4 linked regions of the Macaca fascicularis genome follow. The protein of the gene in region 2 interacts with the protein of the main gene of each other region in a pairwise test. Links are inferred from orthologs where the notes say so. Each region holds a gene or a part of one and is shown on either strand. Other genes may lie near its edges. The genes, in order: melanoma-associated antigen C2, P4HA3, NUTM1 and NDN.

Region 1 (5,194 bases), on a different chromosome or scaffold from region 2:
TAGAGTGCAGTGATTGACATCAACCGGGATGCACAGGAGAATTTTAGGCAGGTGGAACCGGTCAGTATGATACTTGATTTGCAGATATGGGACTCCATGCATTTTCCAAAATACATATAACTTCACATTCTAGTTAAATCTGATGTGTGTATTTAAAACTTTAATCACGCATTGTTTTTTTAAAGGGTCACGGGTTGCTGAAAAGACAGTGATTTTTGTTCAGGGACTAGAATAGGAAAAGAAGCAACAATAAGGAAGTCTTTAACACACAGGCTATGGGAGAGATGATATTAACTTCACTCACAGCAGTAAAGTAGAAAAACTTGGAATGGAATTTAGAAGTTGAAGGAACAAATGTTGCTGTCTGGACAGGAGAAGGAAGGAGTATAGGCTCTTTTAGAAGTAATACCTTGAGAAAGCCATAGGGGCCTTCCCACCCCATTTCAGAGGGCAGTGGAGGCCTGCCTTAGGGCCAGGAGGCCTATCCCACTGTGGGTGGATGTGATTCTACTTCTCTTCCACCTTGCAGGTCTCAGGGATGGGAGGGGCTTATTCGCAGGTGAAAGACTCAGATGCACAGAGACAGGGAGTCCAGGCCATTTCAGGAGTCCAGGCACAGCCTCTCAGGAGGGCAGGAAGGGAACACCCATGACCGGTAGTGCCCTCTGTCCTGTCCCTGTGCCTGCTGCCAACTCTGGAGGACCCCATCAGGGTCCCCAGATGTACAATTTTCTTACTTCTATTTTGGGAGTCAGCAGAAGGGGAGGCTGTCTCTGAGGAGGGCAGCTTCAGTTAAGCAGAGAGAGAAGTCCCAGAACTGGCCAGAAAACAAGAAGAGATGTGGAAGGACGGTGATCTCCCAACACGGAGGGGAGGTGCAGGCTGCACCAAGTCGCTCCCTGCTGACACCCCTGGAAAAAGGAGGGTGGGATGTCAAGGACTGGGGAGGTGGGAGTGAAAAGGTCCACAAGGTTTAGGGAGTGAGCAGGAAGGGTTGGAGGGCAGCTGGGATGTGGGAAGGAAGGGATGGAAAAGAAGCGGAGAGGTGGGGAGTGGTTCCTTCTCAGAGAGGAGGCCCCGCCCCACGTTGACGCTGCCGTCAGCCCTGGACCACTACGGCCGGGTTCCCGGATGTGCTTTCCAGACGGCCATCTTGGGAATCTAAAGGATCGGAGGCATTTTGCAAGGAGATTCGAATCAAGTCAGCTGCGGGGAGTCTTAGACCTGGCCAGTCCACAAGGTGAGGGCCCTGAGGAAGAACTGAGGGACCTCCCACCATAGAGAGATGAAATCCCGGCCTGCACTGCCGCTGCAGTGGGACTGGTAGGTCCCAGACAGGAAAATGCCCACAGAAGAAGGGAGGAGGTGCCAGCCCTCTAGGGAATAAATAGGAAGACATTGAGGAGGACTGGGGGAACCCCCATCTCAGAGGACAGATTCCCACAGATTCCCACCCTGCTCCTCGAGAATCAGCCCTCGTAGAACTCCCCTGCCAGCTCAGGCTGAGTGGCAGCCATCTCATTTCTGGGTGAGGGGTGGAGGGGAGGCAGAGGCCTTGTTCTGGGGGTCCCGTGGCAAGTCAGCACGGGGAGCTGCCTCTGGTTGGCAGAGGGAAGATTCCCAGGCCCTGCTGGCGATAAGACAGAAGACAGGAGTCACATGTGCATCAGAACGGACGTGAGGCCACCCAGACCACCTCCATGGTAGAGTCCTGGGAGGTGGCTGCCACTGCACTACCTCCCACTGCTCTCAGGGATGTGGAGGTTGCTAGGAGGTTTTGCCTTAGGCCAGCAGAGTGGTGGGGGCTTGACCCTCTCTGAGAAGCCGTGAGGTTTCCAATTAAATTCTGAGGGGGCCATGCAGTCCAGAACTATGGGGCTCTGGGATTCTGGCCAGCCCCAGCTGTCAGCCCTGGGAGGCCCAAGACTCTACTTGTAGTCTTTAACCTGAGGGGCTCCGTCACTTCCTCTTGCAGGTGCTCCAGGAACCAGGTGGTGACAAACTGGGTGTGAGGCACACATCCTAAAGTCAGCACAGCAGAGGAGACCCAGGCAGTGCCAGGAGTCAAGGTGAGTGCACACCCTGACTGTGTACCAAGGGCCGTACCCCCAGAAACAGAGGAGACCCCACAGCACCCGGCCGTACCCACCTACTGTTATTCCTGGGGTCTCAGGCTCTGCCTGCCAGCTGTGCCCTGAGGTGTGTTCCCACATCCTCCTACAGGTTGCCAGCAGACAAACTCCCTAGGAAGACAGGAGACCTGTGAGGCCCTAGAGCACCACCTTAAGAGAAGAAGAGCTCTAAGTTGGCCTTTGTCAGAGCCATCATGGGTGAGTTTCTCAGCTGAGGCCATTCACACTGTCACTCTCTTCCACAGGCCTGTTGGATCTCATCATCCATATCCCTGTTGATACCTTTACCTGCTGCGCCTGAAGAAGTCGTTATGCCTCCCATTCCGGGCGTTCCATTCCACAACGTTGACGACGACTCTCCGGCCTCAGTTGAGTCAGAGGACTGGGTAGATGCACAGGATCCCACAGATGAGGAAGAGGAGGAAGCCTCCTCCATTTCCTCTTCCACTTTCTACTTAGTATTTTCCCCCTCTTCCTTCTCCTCATCCTCTTCTCTGATTCTTGGTGGTCCTGAGGAGGAGGTGCCGTCTGATGTGATACCAAGTCTTCCCGAGAGCACTCCCAGTAGTCCTCCACAGAGTCCTCCACAGGGTCCTTCCCAGAGTCCTCTGAGCTCCTGTTGCTCCTCTTTTTCATGGAGCTCATTCAGTGAAGAGTCCAGCAGCCAAAAAGAGGAGGATACAAGTACCTGTCAGGGCCTGCCAGACAGTGAGTCCTCTTTCACACATACACTAGATGAAAAGGTGGCCGAGTTAGTGGCGTTCCTGCTCCTCAGGTACAAAGCAGAGGAGCCTGTAACAGAGGCAGAGATGCTGATGATTGTCATCAAGTACAAAGACTACTTTCCTGTGATACTCAAGAGAGCCCGTGAGTTCATGGAGCTCCTTTTTGGCCTTGCCCTGATAGAAGTGGGCCCTGACCACTTTTCTGTGTTTGCAAACACAGTAGACCTCACTGATGAGGGTAGTGATGATGAGGGCATGCCGGAGAACAGCCTCCTGATTATTATTCTGAGTGTGATCTTCATAAAGGGCAGCTTTGCCTCTGAGGAGGTCATCTGGGAAGTGCTGAATGCAATAGGGGTGTATGCTGGGAGGGAGCACTTCATCTATGGGGAGCCCAGGGAGCTCCTCACTAAAGTTTGGGTGCAGGGGCAATACCTGGAGTGTCGGGAGGTGCCAAACAGTTCTCCTCCATATTATGAATTCCTGTGGGGTCCGAGAGCCCATTCAGAAAGCATCAAGAGTAAAGTACTAGAGTTTTTAGCCAAGCTGAACAACACTGTCCCTAGTTCCTTTCCATCCTGGTACAAGGATGCTTTGAAAGATGTGGAAGAGAGAGCCCAGGCCATGACTGATACCACAGATGATGCCACTGTCATGGCCACTGAAAGCCTCAGTGTCATGTCCAGCAACCTCCCCTTTTCTGAGTGAAGTCTAGGATAGTTTCTGCGCTCTGTGTTTGAACAAGGCAGTTTAGGTTCTAGGTAGTGGAGGGCCAGGTGGGGCTCGAGGAACATAATGTTCTTTGCATTTCTGTCCCATATGGGCGATGTGGAGATTTACCTGTTTTTCAGTACTTTTTGAATGCTTTTCCTTTGAATAGCAGGTAGTTAGCTTCAGAGCATTAATTTATGAATATTGGTCACACATGTATTGCTGTTTATCTGGTTTAAGAGTAACAGTTTGATATTTTGTTTAAAAAAAATGGAAATACCTTCTCCCTTATTTTGTGATCAGTAACAGGGTAGTGTGGTATTGTAATAGGCTTTTTGTTTGTTTGTTTGTTTGTTTGTTTGTTTTTTACAATACGCAATAACTCAGCAGTTAAATAGTGGGACAACGTGAAGGATGGTCAATATTTTCATTTCCTTGTCCTGCTTATTCTTTTGTTCTTGAAAATTAAAGATATATACCTGGCTTTGCTTAGCTTGTTGAAGAAAGTAGCAGAAATTAAATCTTAATAAAAGAAAGCCCCACTGACTCCTTTATTTGCTGAGCATTCTTTCAGTATTTGCTTGTGGAAGTCACTGTTAGTAGTGGGGATGCTAATGAAAGCATGACTTATCTCTATCCATAAAACAGTAGAGTCTAGGAGCAGAAGCCATATCAAGAAGGTGGTAAGATGTTCTCTACAATCTAAAGAACAAGTTAAAAAGGGGCTGGGGAGGTGAGACTCCACATGCAAGCCTTCAAGTGTAAAGGTCTTGAGCTAAGGCAGCTTGGGGCTTTGGAAAACTGCAGTTGCTTTTCTGAGGGCTGGTAGTTACAAAGCTGGGTGGTGGCTGGGACCAGACTCTCGGAGGGTGAGGGAAGAGCCTGGAATGGGGAATTGCTCTGAGCAGTTGCTTCTGGGTGGAGGATGAAGCAGAGAGGAGTCTCCACATGGGGAAGTAATGGAAGGTGTCCTGTGGCTCTGTAACTGGTGAGTTTGAACACAGTGCAAGAACCAGGTGATTGATATCCATCATCTGCAAGGGTTTCCTGAGAAATGTAGTGATAATCCCTTGAAGTGGTGCCCAGAAGCCTCTAGGCTGACTCACTTACCTGGGAGAGCCAGAGCCTACTCCATGGAAAGGCCATTTAATTAGGTGATTTTGAATCTAATGTGGGCAACTCCAAGCAAGGGCTAGATTTTTAGTGGAGGATACATAAAACTAGTGCTTTGGATGGATGAGCATTGGGGAAGGCGAAAAGGAGTTGGTCCTTGACTCAAATTCCAGGATCATTGAGTCGCATTCCACTTGGGGAATTCTCTACTTACCCAAATTATACAATATATCATTTTGGAAAGAGAATGGACTGAGTTTCATTTATGAAGCCGGATTTTTGGTTGAGTTGGTACTCCATGACATATTCAGCTACATATGCTCTGAGATGTTTTAGATCAGAAAACAAGAGTGAAATTTTTCATAAAAGACAGTGGTAGCCTTGGGGTTATAATTACATCGGTAACTGCCATTTGTTAAAATTCCAATCTATGCTTGGCACTGTGCCAGGTGTTTTACTCACATTATAAACATCCAGCAATTCTACAAGACAGGGCTTAGGAAACCCCTTTTA
Region 2 (5,973 bases):
CACAGAAAAAAATTGCTGCTGACACTTCTCTTTCACTCTTGGTGGTATTTTAAACTACAAAAACAGCAACAACAAAAGCTAGGGTAAACTCTCTTTATATACATAACTAGTATATGTACCAATACTGGCATATAACCATATATACTATAACAAGTATAATTTTTATTCATTAACTTGGAGTAGGGAGTAGTTCCTACCTCAAGAATATTGCATTTTTCTATCTCAACCGAGCCTTGGAAACAGCCTCTCAAGTTACATAAAATCACCAGATTGGGAGTATAGAAAAATTAGCAAGAACTGCCAAAATTCTTGTTTTAAAAAGCAAACATAAAGGCTGGGTGCGGTAGCTCATGCTTGCAATCCCAACACTTTGGGAGTACGAGGAGGGAGGATCAATCACTTCAGGCCAGGAGTTCAAGACCAGTCTGGGCAAGAGAGCAAGACCCCGTCTCTACCAAACCAAACCAAACCAAACAAAAACAAAAACAAAAGCAAAAAAAGCCCTAACCAGGCATGGTGCGCATGGTGGTGCGCACCCGTAGTCCTAATTACCTGGTAGGCTCAGGCAGGAGGATCACTTGAGCCACAGGTTTGAGGTTACAGCGAGCTATGATAGAGCCGCTGCACTCTAGCCTGGGTGACAGAGCAAGACCCTGTCTCTTAAAAAGCAAACATTTCACTGGGTTTTAGAGCAGTCACTAGAGAACAGAATGATAGAATGCCAGTCTTCAAAATATCAAACTAAACTACAAAATTAAATGTTCGTAAGTCACCTGAGAAAATAATTGGGAACTTTTCTGATTTGTTTTTTATCTAGGCTGTCACAATCCTAGTTAATCCTCAGAGCCAAAAGTGGGGCCTAGTTTCACTAGTTGGTCTTAAAATAAAATAAAATAAAATAAAATAAAATAATAAGCATAAAGGCTTAGCATTTGTCCAGCAATTGTTACATGCCAGGCATAATGATAAATACTTTTACATGGTACTCTTAATCCTTCAACAACCCTATAGTGATAGGTACTGTGTTTATCATCATTTTAAAGATTAGGAAACTAAAGCTCAAAGAGGTAAAGTAACTTGTCCCAGATCAGAGCCAATGATTCAAACAGAGGTCTGTTAAACTCCTGAATTTACCGTTAACCACTATGTACTGTGGCCACTAGTAAAACCTCAATTAGTTAGGGGCTTGGTCTATGTCTTGGTATAACAGATAAAAGAAGCGGTAGGGATAACATAGCATAATAGGAAAAAAGTTGGATAAACAGTCAAAACAACTGTATCCTAGTCCTGGATTTGCTACCTGTTAGATTTATTAATACAATCTTGAATAAGCAACTAGACTTTAGTTTTCTTGGGTTTTAACTGATTTCTCAACAGTTAACAGTGTAATACAAATCTATTTCAAAGCACCGTGTGTGAGAGAGAATCAAATGAGATACGGTTTGTATGAGACCTCCTGCTGCGACAAAGTTGTGGCAATGATAATGGTGGAAAGACAGTGAAAGAGACCAGCATGGCGGAGTGGGGTCGGCCAGCTGCTTTGGCCAAAATGCTCTGAGTGCTCTCTTCTGAGAATGTAACCTGAAAGACCAGCACAGGGATTCTGACCCCCCACTCCCATCTCCATCTGAGCTACCCAAAGAAAGAGATTACTGGTATGAAAACAAGCATGGGTAGCAGGGAGCATGCTGGGCTCTGAAATCAAGCAGAAAAAAGTCTTTCCTATTTCCATCAATAAGCTTGGACTCCAATGACTCTGGGCTATGAACAAAAAGAAGACATTTGACTCAGTCAGCATGGACCCATAGAATACTAGACAACAATGCTATACCAAAAAGTGACAATAGTTATTGAAATGATCTTCATTTATTGTTAAAATTAATACATACCTATATTGTACATTGTCACACTATTTCAAGCTGTTTATATGCAAGCCACATACTTAAGGACAAGCACCAAATTAGCTCATTCAGTCACTATTAACAAGATCTCTCACAAATACTTTCCACCCACAAAATGCTTTTCTTCTACATAGCTCTCTCTCACAGTCATGGGGTCTCAAAGTTTTGCACAGGGTGACAATGGGTTTGGGGGTCACACTGGACCTCAGAGTCACTCCCCATTCCACATACCTTCTTCTCATGTCACCCCAGAATCAGTATTACTATCACATACACTCACGCAAAGTTTTAAAAGCAGTGCATTGTGCCGTCTTAGCTCAATGAGAAGGAGGTCACGTGATAAAGGTACAATATTAATATATCCAAATAGTGACGTGGTCATAACCACTCTGTCAGTGTTGTAGGCTTCTTCATGTCCCAAGCAGAGAAGGCGCAGCACATATTCATACAGATGGTATCATATACAATCATTTATCTTTCATTTTTCTCAGCTGGACACTGCCAAAGTCGATACATGACTATGGTGCCTCAGCATCCCAAGTCTAACAATCTTTTATGCCACAGTGTGTAGCACTAGAGTTTGTTGATTGTATATCAAAACAATATTAGCTGAGCATCCACTGCCGTGTGCTATACTCAATATCTTCTGCATCAAGTATGTTTTTTCACAGTGCTTTTTTGATATCAAATATGTTGACACACATATAACATCTCAGTTATCATTTATTTAGTATTTAGAGAGCTTCTACATGTGTAAGGAGAAGGAAGAACTGAAGACGTAGAGGGCAGTGGACATCTCTGATTCACAGTCATGGTGCTACAGACCCGAACTCCTTGAGGGCAGAGTTGGCTCTTCTTCACCATTTTATCCCCACTACCTGGAACACTGCCTGGCTCTTAGTAGGCACTCAAAAATATGTGTTCTATGAATTAATGAACTGAAGCATTATTCATATAGCGACCTGTACAGTTACTCAGCATCACTCACATGCAGAGTATGATATCCACAGCGTCGTGCCCATCCAGTGCCAATGACATGTAAATCTCACATATGGTGGAAGACTGTCACCTGACTCCTAACACTAAACTTCAGCTCACTAGGTCATGCGGTGTTTCATGATCGCCCCTTGAAAAGTCAATACTTGCATAGCTAAAGCGTCACCATATTTTCTCCATCTCACTCTCACAGTGTCTCTGTCACAGCACCGTCCACTGAGTCTGTGTCAGTGTGACACAGGGCCTGGGGATCATACAGCTTCGCACAGCACATTGTGAGGTCCTTGAGTCACCCCACCCCGCTCTTCCACAGTGCCACCGTGTGTGTTATGGAGTCTGCAGTCCCACACAGTGTGACTCAACCCTCGCCAACACCTCATGCCACGGAGTGTCGGGGTCCCACACACTGTGACAATGGGTCTGGGGGGTCACACTGGCCCTCAGAGCCACTCCCCATCCCACGCCACAATGTCTCAGTCGCACGATGCGACAGTGGGTCTGGGGTCCCACGCAGCATGACAATGAGCCTGGGGTCACACTCAACCTGAGTCACCCCACGTTGCTGCACAGTGTCTCCCACTGAGGCCCCTCGGTCGCTCCCACTCGCCGTGCCCTCACCTAGTCAGGTCCCGCAGCCGCGCCTCCTCCCCGCGCAGGTACCGCCTCAGCAGCCCCAGCAGCCGGCGTTCGGGCCCCAGGGCGCGCGCCACGCTGGTCAGTGCAGAGAACGTGTCGCCCCGCGCAGCAGCCCTTTCTGGGTCTCCTGTCCCGAGCGCCAGCACTGCCAGCAGCGCCGCCAGCCGCGCCCCTGGACCCATCGCCAGCGCTAGCGCACTTCTCAGACAGTCCTGGCCGCGCGGAGCCAGCTGCTCCTGCCCTGGCCTGCCCCGCCCCTTTCCCCGCCCCCTCCCGGCTCAGGCCCCGCCCCCTGGCCCCGGTCAGTCGCCTCCGCAGCCCAGTCTCGCCCCACGCCCCCTGCCTCCTTCCTTGTTTCGACGCGCCTCACCTCGCTCTCTAGCCCTCAGCTCCTCGGAATGCGTGGGGGCTTCCTGCAACATCAGTGTCAGCCGCCCTCCACTAAATCGCGACCCTGTGAAGGTGTTTCCACTGTGCCCATCACACTGGGAGAAATTGAGGCGGGGGCGAGGTGAGCGATGAATTCACAGGTCTAAGGCTGTGACCATCCCCAAATATTGTTAACACCATGCTGACAACATCCCTAAAATATCCGCCCCTCTGTACCATGGAGTGGGAATACACAAACACCACTGGATCCCCACAGAAGAGCCAATTTTGCGTGTGTGAATAGCTGCGCAGGCAAAGAGCGGCAAGAGGGCAGCAGGCAGGAAAACCCTCACAGAGGGCGTGACATCTGAGCCATCTGAAGGATGAGTAGGACTCTGTGAGGATGTGAGTGTATGACAAATCTAGGACTTACAGAACCTGAAACTCTGGGGTCCTGATGTCACTGCTTTACACAATATACCTAGAGTCACTTAGGCAAACAAAAATATTGCTATTATTATAGCCTACTAAGCTACTTACTCTATTTCCCCCCTCTTAATCATTTCCCAGGCAATGTTCATTCATTCAACAAATATTTATTAGCACCTATGTTAATGTGCTGACTACACAGAGAAATAGCAGATCCAATCCTGGACTCAGAGGAGGAGACAGATATGTAAACAAGTAATCACAGTAAAGTGCTGTCAGAGTAACTGAGGGTTGTGCAATGTGCAATGGCAACACTGAAGAAGGAACCCTCATCTAGCGGGTGGAGAGGGCTTCAGAGAGGAGATAATGTGTGCTGGTTCAAAAGCATGAAAAAAATTGGAAGTTGACAGGCAAGGGAGGAGTGGGCTTTCCTGGCAGAAGGTACCTGTGCGTGACAAGGTTTGGAGGTGGAAAACAGTTTGAGTTCCAGAAATGACGAGAAGTTCCTTGTGCTTGAAACTATCAGATTGCGAAGGGCCTTTGCATGCCATACTAAGAAATTTAGGTGCTTTTCCTCTATGAAAATCCAGTGGAAGTTTTTAAGGTGGTAATAATTGTAGTAACAATGGCAATAGTAAACACAGCAGTTAATACTTACTGAGTGTTTCCTGTGTGGCAGGGGCCATCCAGAGTATTTTACATATATTAACTCATTTAATTGCTGTCCAGAGTATTTTATATGTATTAACTCATTTAATTCTCATGCTGACCTTACAGCCTAGGTAGTAGTAGTATTCTTATAGTATTATTAGCCCCACTTTACCAATGAGAAGACTGAGTTGTAGGGACAATCAATAACCTACTCAATGTTAATCACTTGTGGACCACATTTGAGGTGTGCTGTAAACCAGCTGTCTAGGAAAAAAATTAAAATTCTGATTTGTGGCATTTGCCAATTTCTGTGGTGTCAATTCTCCCATAGTGGCTGATTTCAACATGAGAATATGTCATCACTGACTGCGGTTGGATAAAGATGCTAACAATCAATTCTTGCGAGCTGGGGTGAGCCAGCTCCAGCACACCACTGCTTGTGTAGACATGGAGATGTACCACGCAGATCCCCCTTCAAACAATTGTTGCACAGCTGCAGGGAATGTGATCAGAAGAGTCTCCAGCGGTCAGCTGCTTTAGGGTCTATCCTATAGCAGAGAGCAGCCTTGCCTAGGGAAATTTCCTTCCTGGGGCAACCCTAATCCAGCAACGGAGCAAGGTGAGGGAATCAAGGCCTAGCCATTTTGGTCCATCGTGAGAAAACTCTTACAGGCAATACTAGCTCCAGCATGCCTGCCACCTTGATTAAGGCTTCATCAAGCCTCTTTGACTTCTTCCTCTCCCCTTTCTTGCTTCCTTTCCCTTTCATAGATGTTGATCTCTAATAAACATCTTGCACCTCAAACTCCATCTGAGCCTCTGTTTCTAGAGAACCCAATCTGTAACATCAACTCAATCAACATACATAGTAAGTGGTAGAGAAGGGACTTGAACCCAGGTCATGTGGATCCTGATTCCATATTCTTAATTACTACCAGAGGCAGATTTACCCAGAAGGTTTTGAAGATTAAGCTTCAAGGCTCCTACCTTG
Region 3 (6,084 bases), on a different chromosome or scaffold from region 2:
TTTTTTGTAGAGGCAGGGCACAGTGGCTCATGCCTGTAATCTCAGCACTTTGGGAGGCCAAGGTGGAAGGATCGCTTGACTCCAGGAGTTTGAGACCAGCCTGGGCATCATGGCAAAACCCTGTCTCTACTAAAAATACAAAAATAAGCCAAATGCACTGGCATGCACCTGTAGTCCCAACTACTTGGGGGGGCTGGGGTGGGAGGATCACTTGAGCCCAAGAAGTCGAGGCTGCAGTGAGCTGAGATTGCGCCTCTGCACTCCAGCCTGGGTGACAAATGAAAACTCTGTCTCCAAACAAACAAACAAAACTGTAGAGACGGGGTCTCACTATGTTGCCTAGGCTAGGCTCAGACTCCTGGCCTCAAGTGATCCTCCTGCCTCAGCCTTCCAAAGTGCAGAGATAACAGGTATGAGCCACCACACCTCATCTGAGTTCCTCTTTAGACTCGAAGACTCAAAGCACTGATTCTCAACAGGTGAAAGAGGGGATAAGGATGGGGAACTTGTGTAGTTGGCAAATGTCCCCCAAGTGATTTTGATCTTCCTCCTCGTTGAGAATGACTGCATTAAAGAAGCTGCTGCTTTTTCAAGAAGACACACAGACCCCTGTCTGCCAAGAAGAGACAAGCCTGAGCCATCACTGCCTCTAAAGTGTTGCTTTTTCTTTCTTTCTTTCTTTTTAGATGGAGTCTTTCTGTGTCACCCAGGCTGGAGTGCAGTGGCACGATCTTAGCTCACTGCAACCTCTGCCTCCCAGGTTCAAGTGATTCTCCTGCCTCAGCCCCTCAAGTAGCTGGGATTACAGACGTGAACCACCACATCCGGCTAATGTTTGTATTTTTAGTAGATACAGGGTTTATGCCATGTTGGCCAGGCTGGTCTCAAAAACCTGACCTCAGGTGATCCACCTGCTTCGGCCTCCTAAAGTGTTGGGATTACGGGCGTGAGCCACTGCACCCGGCCCCTCTAAGTGCTTCTCTAAGAAAATTCCTGGCAGACCTCTCCAGCCTCTCCGTAGGCTGTTTACTAAGATACAGAATTGGGTTGACACCTGCTCTGCAGGGAAAACAGCCCACAGCGGCCTCCGTGCAGTAAGGGAACTAGTCCACGGTAAGCTCCAGCCCCTCTCGAGGCATCCATAAGGCCTTTGAGAAGGAGGCACTTTCAAAAATATGACTGGCTCATTCCCTCCTCCTTTTCCTTTTCCTGTTGCTTCTTATAAATCTCTCTTAACCTAAAACAACAGAAGAAAGATTCAATCTATAAGCAGGAGCATGAGCCCATGAAGCTCAGACATCCTGTAACACATTCCACCCAGCATTCCACGTACATCCCCTATGCTCACCTATTCCAAACCAGAGACTCAAACCACCTGAACCCTGCTTCTCCCAGCTGCTCTGTGGCCTCTGCCACCACGCACAGAAGTACTGTTCCCAGGAGAGGATATGTGGATTGGATGTTTGGTTCCCAGAAATTTTGTTGTATAACAGCCAGGAATAATTAGAGAGGATTAGATAAGGACAAGGAAATGAGTGAAGGGAGGGCGGTGTGGGGAGAGAGGTTTCCAGATCTTTAAGTAACTGCTGGACGTGTTTGGCGATGCAGACTATCTGTGGCCCTTCTGCTTGGAGCTCCTAACATCAGAAATTTAGGGCTCACTAGGAACGAGGCACTGAGCTAGGTGCTAAGGACAGGACAATGAAGTCCTTCATTGTCACTGGTTCCAGCTGGGGAGGGGCTATGTGGACTCTAGTCAAAGAGACCAAGGATAAGTATACAAATGTGTACTTAATCAGAACCTATGTCTCCTAGGACTTTTTTTTTTTCCCCGAGACAGAGTCTCTGTCACCGAGGCTGGAGTGCAGTGGCGCGATTTCAGCTCACTGCAACCTCTGCTGCCTCCTGGGTTCAAGCGATTCTCCTGCCTCAGCCTCCCTAGTAGCTGGGATTACAGGCGGGCGCCAACACACCCAGCTAATTTTTGTATTTTTAGTAGAGATGGGGTTTCACCATGTTGGCCAGGCTGGTCTTGAACTCCTGACCTCAAGTGATCTACCTCCCTCGGCTTCCCAAAGTGCTGAGATTACAGGCGCTTGAGGTCAGGAGTTAGACACCAGCCTGGCCAACTTGGTGAAACCCCGTCTCTCTAAAAATACAAAAATTAGCTGGGTGTGGTGGTGGGCGCCTGTATCCCAGCTGCTCAGGAAGCTGAGGAAAGAGAATTGCTTGAACTCGGGAGGCAGACTTTGCAGTGAGCTAGCATCACACCACTGCACTCCAGCGTAAGCGACACAGTGAGACTCCATCTCAAACAAAAAAACAAAACAGGAAAACAACAGCAGAATATCACCTGCTTAAATCTCCTCCCCCTTACAAAAAATATTACACTGTCAAACTAACAACACCCAACTTCTGCATTCTGACCATGGCACACAAGCAAACTCAGATTCAAACTCATTTCAGCCACAGAGCAAAGGGCTGAGGGTATGTCGCTGAGTACAGAACACAATGAAAGGGGCCTGAAGGCCTGAGATCCATAAAAGGAAGAAAAACTAAGAGCATCTCGGTGAAGCCCCAGATCTCATCCTGGCTGTAATGACCCACCTCTCTGGCCCGGATGAATCCGGAAAAACTGCTTCCTGAACTCAAAGCGAAGCCACCTCTAGGGCTGGAAGGAGCCGTGAGGCTCTGAGCAGAGGCAGGATTTTTCTTTTTTTTTTTTTTTTGAGACCGAGTTTCGCTCTTGTTGCCTAGGCTAGAGTGCAATGACACAATCTTGGCTCACCACAACCTCTGCCTCTCAGGTTCACGGGATTCTCCTGCCTCAGCCTCCCGAGTAGCTGAGATTACAGGCATGCGCCACCATGCCCGGCTTTTTTTTTTTTTTTTTTTTTTTTTTTTTGTAGTTTTAGTAGAGATGGGGTTTCTCCATGTTGGTCAGGCTGGTCTTGAACTCCTGACCTCAGGTGATCCGCCCGCCTCGGCCTCCCAAAGTGCTGGGATTACAGGCATGAGCCACCGTGCCCGGCCAGAGTAGAGGCAGTTTATAATACATTCCAGCCTAGTTTTCAGGAAGGCATTTCTCTGCAACGGATAACTACAGATTATGTTTTCCCGCTAAAGTCCTTCCCACCTTACCCTCCCATCCTCCATCCTCCACATCCCATTCCCCTCATAGGCTCAAGCATGGCAAAATCCTAGAATAGGCTCCAGTTGCCTGAAAGAGACAGATGAATGAACGTGGGCATTCCCCCTTGAAACCTCTCGGTGCCAGTCCTAAGACACATACCTCTGATCCCCTCTCCCACCACAAGAACACACGCTGACGTGCCCCCTGTTCAAGAGAATCAAGTTGCTAATTGCCATCCATTCTCTATACTCAGCATGTGTCCTCGGAGACACCTTGATCTGCCCTTAAGGAGGTCCTCTTCCTTCCCCGGCCCCTAGTCTTAATGGTACAGTCTCCTTCTCTAGCCTCCCCAAGTGGGATACCTTTGATGGGGTGTAGCACCTCGCATTCCTTTAGGTCAGCCCAAAGAGCTTGTCCCAAAGGATTTGAGCAGGTACCAGAAATCCTCCTCACCACCTAAAGACTTACCTCCATCTGAAGCCATCCTCTCAGCTTTGGGCACTAACCGTGGCTGTCTGGAAGCCTCCAGAATGAGGCAGTCAGGTCCAGGACCCAGAGTAACCTGGCTCCAAGTAGGTGCACAGGGATCCAAGGAAGGGAAGGTAAAGATCAGATCAAACAGAACTAGAATATGGAACTCAAGGCAGTCTGCTGTGGGGGAGGGGAGAGGGGAAAGTGGGGTGAGGGTGGGGAGAGATATTCCATGAAGGGTTCTAGTAACTACGCAAAAACCAGGAATTCCCTTCAAACTACAGTTTGGCAACACAACTGATGTTCGCCCTTTAGGGCTATTTGTAAATTCTTTCTCAGATTCCCAACACATTACAGTTTTGAGTTTGGTTCCCTATACTTCAATTCTTCACCAACATATCTCATTTTGTGTCCTTCCATCCCAGCCAGTTCTGTAACTGACTTCCTATTAACAGCAGGTCGATGGTAGACCCCTGACTTAATCCAATGATGGCTATATTTTCTGAACTAAATTCAGACCACATTGGTCTGTATACTTAAGGATCAAGGGAACTAAAGTCTAAAATTAGAATTGTCAGATGATCCAAGGTGCTCAATTGCTGTGTGCACATCATTTCCTTGGAAAGCTGTCCAATCTACTAGCATAGGCTCTGTACTCCACAGAAGCCTTACCCTTTGCTGAAAAGCCTCACTAAATAAAAAAGCTGCCATGCAGTTTAAAACCTCAAGAGTAGAAAGTCCTTCGTTTTGTTAAATTATTTTGGTTTAAATTTTAAAAATAAAATGTATCTGCTAAGGTTCCTGGTGACTATTTCAGGCCAGTAATTCCCAGACCATCCTCTACAGCCACAGCTTCATCCAAACGTGGATTTCCCCCAAAAGACCTTCCCTGGGGTTCATGGCGTCTTTCTTGCTTTCTCTGAGATATCTTTTCTCTTTTCTAAAGACTCTTTCATTAATAAGACCTGAAGGCTGAAATCATCCTTTTCCTTTCTAACAAAATTAACTACTTAGACATACTTTTTTTTTTTTTTTGAGACAGAGTCTTGCTTTGTCGCCCAGGTTGGAGTGCAGTGGCATGATCTCTGCTCACTGCAAGCTCTGCCTCCCGGGTTCACACCATTCTCCTGCCTCAGCCTCCTGAGTAGCTGGGACTACAGGCGCCCGCCACCACACCCGGCTAATTTTTCTATTTTTAGTAGAGACGGGATTTCACTGTGTTAGCCAGGATGGTCTCGATCTCCTGACCTCATGATCCACCCACCTCGGCCTCCCAAAGTGCTGGGATTAGAGGTATGAGCCACCGCGCCCGGCCTTTAAAAAATTTTTAACAGGTAATACATTAGCAAGGTTCAAAAATCAAACTACAAAATAAAATACATAGCAATAAGTCTGCCTCCCACCCCTTACCCCTTTCTCCTGTAACTAGGTTCTCTATCTCAGAGGAAACCAGTATCATCTGTTTCTTGTGAATAATTGCAGAGATTTTTTATTCAACTACAAGTAAATACAAACCATATCTTTTTTTTTTTTTTTTGGGACAGGGTCTCTTGCTCTGTCACCCAAGCTGGAGACCAGTGGCGTGATCTCAGCTCACTGCAACCTCCGCCTCCCGGGTTCAAGCGATTCTCCTGCCTCAGCCTCCCGAGTAGCTGGGACTACAGGTGACCGCCAGCACGTCCCGCTAATTTTTGTATTTTTATTAGTAAAGACGGGGTTTCACCATATTGGCCAGGCTGGTCTTGAACTCCTGACCTTGTGATCCACCTGTCTCGGCCTCTCAAAGTGCTGGGATTACAGGCCTGAGCTACTGCACCCGGTCACAAACCATATTCTTTTTTTCAGACGGAGTGCCACTCTGTCACCCAGGCTGGTGTGCAGTGGCGCTATCTCAGCTCGCTGCAACCTCTGCCTTCCCGGCTCAAATGACTCTCCTGCCTCAGCCTCTGAAGTGGCTGGGACTACAGGCGCCCACCACCACACTCAGCTAATTTTTTCTGTATTTTTAGTAGAGACGGGGTTTCGCCAGATTGGCCAGGCTGGTCTCGAACTCTTGACCTTGTGATCCGCCCGCCTCAGCTTCCCAAAGTGTTGAGATTACAGGCGTGAGCCAACGCGCCCGGCCAAACCATATTCTAAAAAAAAAAAAACCTTGCAGGTTTTTCTGGTTACACAACATATATGCCAACGCTTTTGTCATTATAAATAAGGCGTAATGATGATCTTTGTAATTATATTTTGGTTCTCATTTTCATTTCTTTAAACGAATAAGGAGAACTTCTATATTCTTTAAAAAATTGTAAAATCTCCTAGAAGGTGCACTTTATTACGCTATTATTAGCTACTCACCACTGTAAGAAAGAGCGCTGAATTTGCGGTAGGGACCTAAGTTTAAATCTTGGTTCGACCGCTGAAACATACTTCGTTTCATAAAATAACTTTACGCTATTTTCGCTTTACGGAATATTGATACTCAACAT
Region 4 (5,322 bases), on a different chromosome or scaffold from region 2:
TCGGAGGGTGAAATGTGAGAATGTAGTTTGAATGAGATCACAATGTTAAAAACCATAGCCTACGGCCAAAGCTAAGTTGAGATTTAAATAGTAGGTTCAAACACTTTTATTATTAAAAAAATGTCAAACGAACTAAATATTTTTTTCTTTATGTATTTAATTTTTGAGACAGTCTTGCTCTGTTGCCCCGGCTGGAGTGCAGTGGCATGCTCTCAGCTGACTGCAAACTCCACCTCCCAGGTTCAAGTGAGTCTCCTGCCTCAGCCTCCCAAGTAGCTGGGATTAAGGGCATCTGTCATCACACCCGGGTAATTTTTGTATTTTTAGTAGAGACGGGGTTTTGCCATGTTGTCCAGGCTGGTCTTGACCTCCTGACTTCAGGCGATCTGCCCGCCTTGCTTTCCCAAAGTCCTGGGATTACAGGCGTGAGCCACCGCACCTGGCCTAAATATTTTATTTAAATAGTTAGAAAATAATACATACCCAAATAAAATAAAGAAGAATATTGATGGAGATTTAAATGCAATAAATGAGGATTATATTTAAGAAGCATGGGGGCAATAAGTCTGTTCAAGAGACATTCTTTTTTTTTTTTTTTTTTTTTTTGAGATGGAGTCTCACTCTGTCGCCCAGGCTGGAGTGCAGTGGCCGGATCTCAGCTCACTGCAAGCTCCGCCTCCCGGGTTTATGCCATTCTCCTGCCTCAGCCTCCCGAGTAGCTAGGACTACAGGCACCCGCCACCTCGCCCAGCTAGTTTTTTTGTACTATTTAGTAGAGACGGGGTTTCACCGTGTTTGCCAGGATGGTCTCGATCTCCTGACCTTGTGATCGGCCCGTGTCGGCCTCCCAAAGTGCTGGGATTACAAAACAATGAATTAGCATATTTCTGTAAGATGCTCCCAAGAAAGTGGTAAATATCCATAAATAGAGGAAGGAGAAGGAGAAGGAGACGGAGAGAAGAAGGACGAGGTGGAGGAGGAAGAGGAGAAGGAGAAAAGTGTTGAAATAATTCCAACTAAGACTGATATCTAGGAATTACCCTGGTGAAGTGGGAAGCTAAAGAGCCTGTTGGAAGGACTGGTGTGGGAATGGCTCTGCCAAAAGTGTTATGTGCATGCAAACCCAAAGAGAGAGAGCACAGAAAACCCTTCAACATCAACCTGCTTGAGGAAAAATAAAGTGACAAGTGGGAAAAGATATATACTCACAGCGAGGACTCTAGACATGTTAAGACAATTTTTAAATGTGCTTTTGGCTTCGAGTGGCAATAATTAGACTCAACATATTTAAGAAGCTACTGATGAGAAGAAACCCTGGAAGCGCTGAAGGACCACATCAGCCCAGACCAAGGATGCTGAAGCAGCATCAAGGCCCTTGGTTTCAGAGGCTCCACCAATGACCCTTTTTTCATGGAGAGCCTGTAGGAGCGAGTTTTGTCTTTGCCCAGTGGGAATCTGTCTTCTATACTTGGAAAACAGGGTTACCCATGTTGCCCCTGCTACCCTTGGGTCATCTCAGAGACACTACCAGATATTACCTATGAGACCTAGTTGTTTTTTTTTTTAAATCTCAGGAAGGACTTGGGTGTGGCTTCCAACGTGGAGGACTCAGTAGCTTCAGAGAGGGTCCTGGGAGAAGGTGAATCGGAGAATAAGGGTGCTGGGCAGAGGGAAAAAGACATTATCATACAAGTTTGTGCTAAAAGATATAGCAATCCTTCTGCTATGGACTAAGTATGGAAAAAAATAAAATGGAATCAAAGTGACCCAAAGGAAATGTAAAACCCAAATTTATGCCCACTAAAGCATTAATGATGCTCTAAGTCCGCTGCCTACTTAAAAGGTTCATAGTTCACATGGGTTGACAGGAAATTACGTTAAGGACACGCTGCATTTCTCCTTTTCTTACAACCCCTCTGATTTGGTAGGGAGGGAGTCAATCATTTTTTATTGGAATTTCTCAGGATTCCAACCTCAGACATACACTTTACACATTTTCTTGGACAAGCCCGACTGTTCCTCTCACTCGTTCGCATAAAGCTCAAGTTTACACAGCCGCCCAGACCTTTCTCTGGGACGCTCATATTTAACTTAATTCTGGATATATCAGGTAAGCGTTTCCCAAGAAACTTGACCCCAACATCCCAAAAACTTAAGTTATCATCTTTCTCCTAAACTGGCCCCTTCTCCAGTACGCATCCATCGCACTCTTCTCCTGCCCTAGATCCCCTCAGCCCAAACGGGAAACCCCGGGATCGCTCTCTCCGCAGGTGAAGCTTAGCCAGGGACCCTCCCCGTCGGGGCTCCGCGCTGCCCCGCCCGCCCCCAGCCGCTGGCCAAGGCCGCAGTCGCGCAGGCGCAGTGCCGCGTCCCGCCGCCGCCCCGCCCTGCCCGCCGCTGCGGAAGGCGCCGCGCACAGCAACGCGCACTTCCTCTCCAGGAATCCGCGGAGGGAGCGCAGGCTTGAAGAGCTCCTGGACGCAGAGGCCCTGCCCTTGCCAGACGGCGCAGATATGTCAGAACAAAGTAAGGATCTAAGCGACCCTAACTTTGCAGCCGAGGCCCCCAGCTCCGAGGTGCACAGCAGCCCTGGGGTTCCGGAGGGGGTTCCTCCGTCCGAGACCCTGGCAGAGCCGCAGAGCCCTCCTTTAGGCCCGACGGCCGCCCCGCAGGCCGCGCAGCCTCCCCAGGCCCCGAGCGACGAGGACGACCCGAAGGCCCTGCAGCAGGCCGCGGAGGAGGGCCGCGCCCACCAGGCCCCGAGCGCGGCCCAGCCCGGCCCGGCCCCGCCAGCCCCGGCGCAGCTGGTGCAGAAGGCGCACGAGCTCATGTGGTACGTGCTGGTCAAGGACCAGAAGAAGATGATCATCTGGTTTCCAGACATGGTGAAAGATGTCATCGGCAGCTACAAGAAGTGGTGCAGGAGCATCCTCCGGCGCACCAGCCTCATCCTCGCCCGGGTGTTCGGGCTGCACCTGAGGCTAACCAGCCTGCACACCATGGAGTTTGCGCTGGTCAAAGCGCTGGAGCCCGAGGAGCTGGACAGGGTGGCGCTGAGCAACCGCATGCCCATGACAGGTCTCCTCCTCATGATCCTGAGCCTCATCTACGTGAAGGGCCGCGGCGCCAGAGAGAGCGCGGTCTGGAACGTGCTCCGCATCCTGGGGCTGCGGCCCTGGAAGAAGCACTCCACCTTCGGGGACGTGCGGAAGCTCATCACTGAGGAGTTCGTCCAGCAGAATTACCTGAAGTACCAGCGCGTCCCGTACGTGGAGCCGCCCGAGTACGAGTTCTTCTGGGGCTCCCGGGCCAGCCGCGAAATCACCAAGCTGCAAATCATGGAGTTCCTGGCCAGGGTCTTTAAGAAAGACCCCCAGGCCTGGCCCTCCCGATACAGAGAGGCTCTAGAGGAGGCCAGAGCTCTGCGGGAGGCTAATCCCGCTGCCCACTGCCCTCGCAGCAGTGTCTCCGAGGACTAGCCAAGTCTGGAGGCAGATGAATGCTTTCTGATCCTCACCAGGGCTGTGGAAGGGTGGGGGTGGGTCATTAGAGTGTTCAGGATTTACAGTGCAGTATTCACGTGTAACTTTTACGTTTCCAGTACAGTGCTTTTATACCTTTAATGCAATGTTGTATTCATTTGGGTACTATTGTGTAGTATTTAGGATGTATGCATGTTTGTTTATATGTAAGCTTGGTTGGTGCTTTCGCTTTTGTGGTACCTTTCTTGGATTTTTGTATCAGAGACGTGCTAAACTGATGAAGTACATTGAGAACGTTTCCATCTTATTAATTTACATGGGACTGAGATGTGTGTTGGGGTAGACTGCTCCTGCAGAGTTTGGAAAAACTCACCAGCAAAGCCGGCCTAACCAAGAAATGTCAAGGCCCTCATGACCTTGCTGGGGACTGAAAACATCCTCGTGGCGTAAACTAATTTGAACTGGACTGGTCTCAATGTGAGAGCACTTGGCACACTTTACTAAACACATATACAACCCCACCGTGAGTCAACTTTAAAGTAAACATTAAAGATTCTTGTGATACAATCATTTCTGGAAGTGTACGTTATCATTTTAACAAAGCAGTATGGTTGGGAATGAGACAATTCTCTGTTTTACAGTATACACAGATATAACTGTTTCCCCTAATGGGGTGGGAAAAATCGCTACTCATGATTACTCCTAAATTTGTGAAGTTTGTGGTTTTGTCTTTAACTCATGTTTATTTCAAAAACATGCACAAATATAGAAAAGCATAAAAAACAAAACAGTAAGATTGTCCATAATCACATCCTATGGGAATAAAAACCAAAAATAATTTCCTTAAGTTTCTACATTTTATCAAAATTAATAGATGCTTTGTGGGCACTTAAAGAGTGAGACATTGTACATGAGCCCTGACGTGTATTTTTCTCCTTTTATCTAATCCTCACAACAGGCCTGTCAGGCAGGCAAGAACTGCCTCTGCACCATGGAGGAAACACAGGAATAATGTAGGTAATGGACTTTCCATAGCTCATACAGGTTAATAAGAGAAGGCGCTAGGACTAGAACTCACAATGAATCCAGAGTCCACATTTGTCCCCACCTGCCTTCAACTCCCCTACACCCTGTGGTTTTTAGGTTATTTATTTTCAACTTTATATTGAAATTTCATGTGGGAGCCCACACTCACATGGGTTCATGGGCCACACATACAAAAAGGCTAGGAATTTTATTTTTCTAATTCTTAGGATATTTTGGAGAAAGCAATATCATTCTGATTCTGCAAATTAAGAAACTTACTTTTGGAGAGATTAATTAACCTAATGAAGTGATATTCCTGTTGAGCAGTGAAGCTGGGATTGGAAACAATCTTTCCTGAGGGTTGGAGGTGAAGGTGCTTTCTCTGACAAACACACAAGACACCTAAGAGAGGGAGGTGGGTTGCCCTCAGGACGTCTCGGGCCTCGCAGCCCTCGAGTTGCGGTGAGCCACTGGGTAATCCTCAGAGGATGGGATGGGCTGCGAGTGGGCTTTAGGGGCAATGCCTGAAGGAAAATCTCGTTGTGAATTTTTAGTCCTGCAAGGGGTAAGGGGGAGAAAAGGGGCTTTAACAAGAACAGAAGTCCTTTAAACTACAAAAGAGTGGGAAAGACCATTTGGCCAAAGCCAGAAACTTTTCTGTGGAAGACTAATAATGAAGAGGACACGTGTCACATAACACCTCAAAGAAGTAAACTGGGAGTCCTATTAGGGTGAGGGAATTATAATTTGGATTGGGAGCTGGAATTCCCAACACTTACTGGCATTACTTAACAGGTGGGGGCGGGTGCTGGAA

Evidence for each region.
Region 1: the proteins of P4HA3 (region 2) and melanoma-associated antigen C2 interact in binary tests that used the Homo sapiens proteins (3 or more experiments, as listed by UniProt). The two-hybrid records come from large-scale screens. The link is inferred for Macaca fascicularis from reciprocal best matches to the Homo sapiens genes P4HA3 and MAGEC2.
Region 3: the proteins of P4HA3 (region 2) and NUTM1 interact in binary tests that used the Homo sapiens proteins (3 or more experiments, as listed by UniProt). The two-hybrid records come from large-scale screens. The link is inferred for Macaca fascicularis from reciprocal best matches to the Homo sapiens genes P4HA3 and NUTM1.
Region 4: the proteins of P4HA3 (region 2) and NDN interact in a two-hybrid assay, tested with the Homo sapiens proteins (2 studies listed by BioGRID). The link is inferred for Macaca fascicularis from reciprocal best matches to the Homo sapiens genes P4HA3 and NDN.

The regions. Positions count from the first base shown.
Region 1 is NC_088395.1:148,297,476-148,302,669, reverse strand, and holds melanoma-associated antigen C2, read left to right. Parts: upstream 1-2,390; 5' UTR 2,391-2,443; coding exon 2,444-3,565; 3' UTR 3,566-3,922; downstream 3,923-5,194. UniProt on the Homo sapiens protein: Proposed to enhance ubiquitin ligase activity of RING-type zinc finger-containing E3 ubiquitin-protein ligases.
Region 2 is NC_088388.1:73,181,725-73,187,697, forward strand, and holds the start of P4HA3 (prolyl 4-hydroxylase subunit alpha-3), read right to left. Parts: upstream 3,738-5,973; 5' UTR 3,716-3,737; coding exon 3,516-3,715; intron 1-3,515. UniProt on the Homo sapiens protein: Catalyzes the post-translational formation of 4-hydroxyproline in -Xaa-Pro-Gly- sequences in collagens and other proteins.
Region 3 is NC_088381.1:10,631,050-10,637,133, reverse strand, and holds the start of NUTM1 (NUT family member 1), read right to left. Parts: upstream 4,007-6,084; 5' UTR 3,957-4,006; coding exon 3,602-3,956; intron 1-3,601. UniProt on the Homo sapiens protein: Plays a role in the regulation of proliferation. Regulates TERT expression by modulating SP1 binding to TERT promoter binding sites.
Region 4 is NC_088381.1:5,295,349-5,300,670, forward strand, and holds NDN (necdin), read left to right. Parts: upstream 1-2,425; 5' UTR 2,426-2,513; coding exon 2,514-3,479; 3' UTR 3,480-4,052; downstream 4,053-5,322. UniProt on the Homo sapiens protein: Growth suppressor that facilitates the entry of the cell into cell cycle arrest.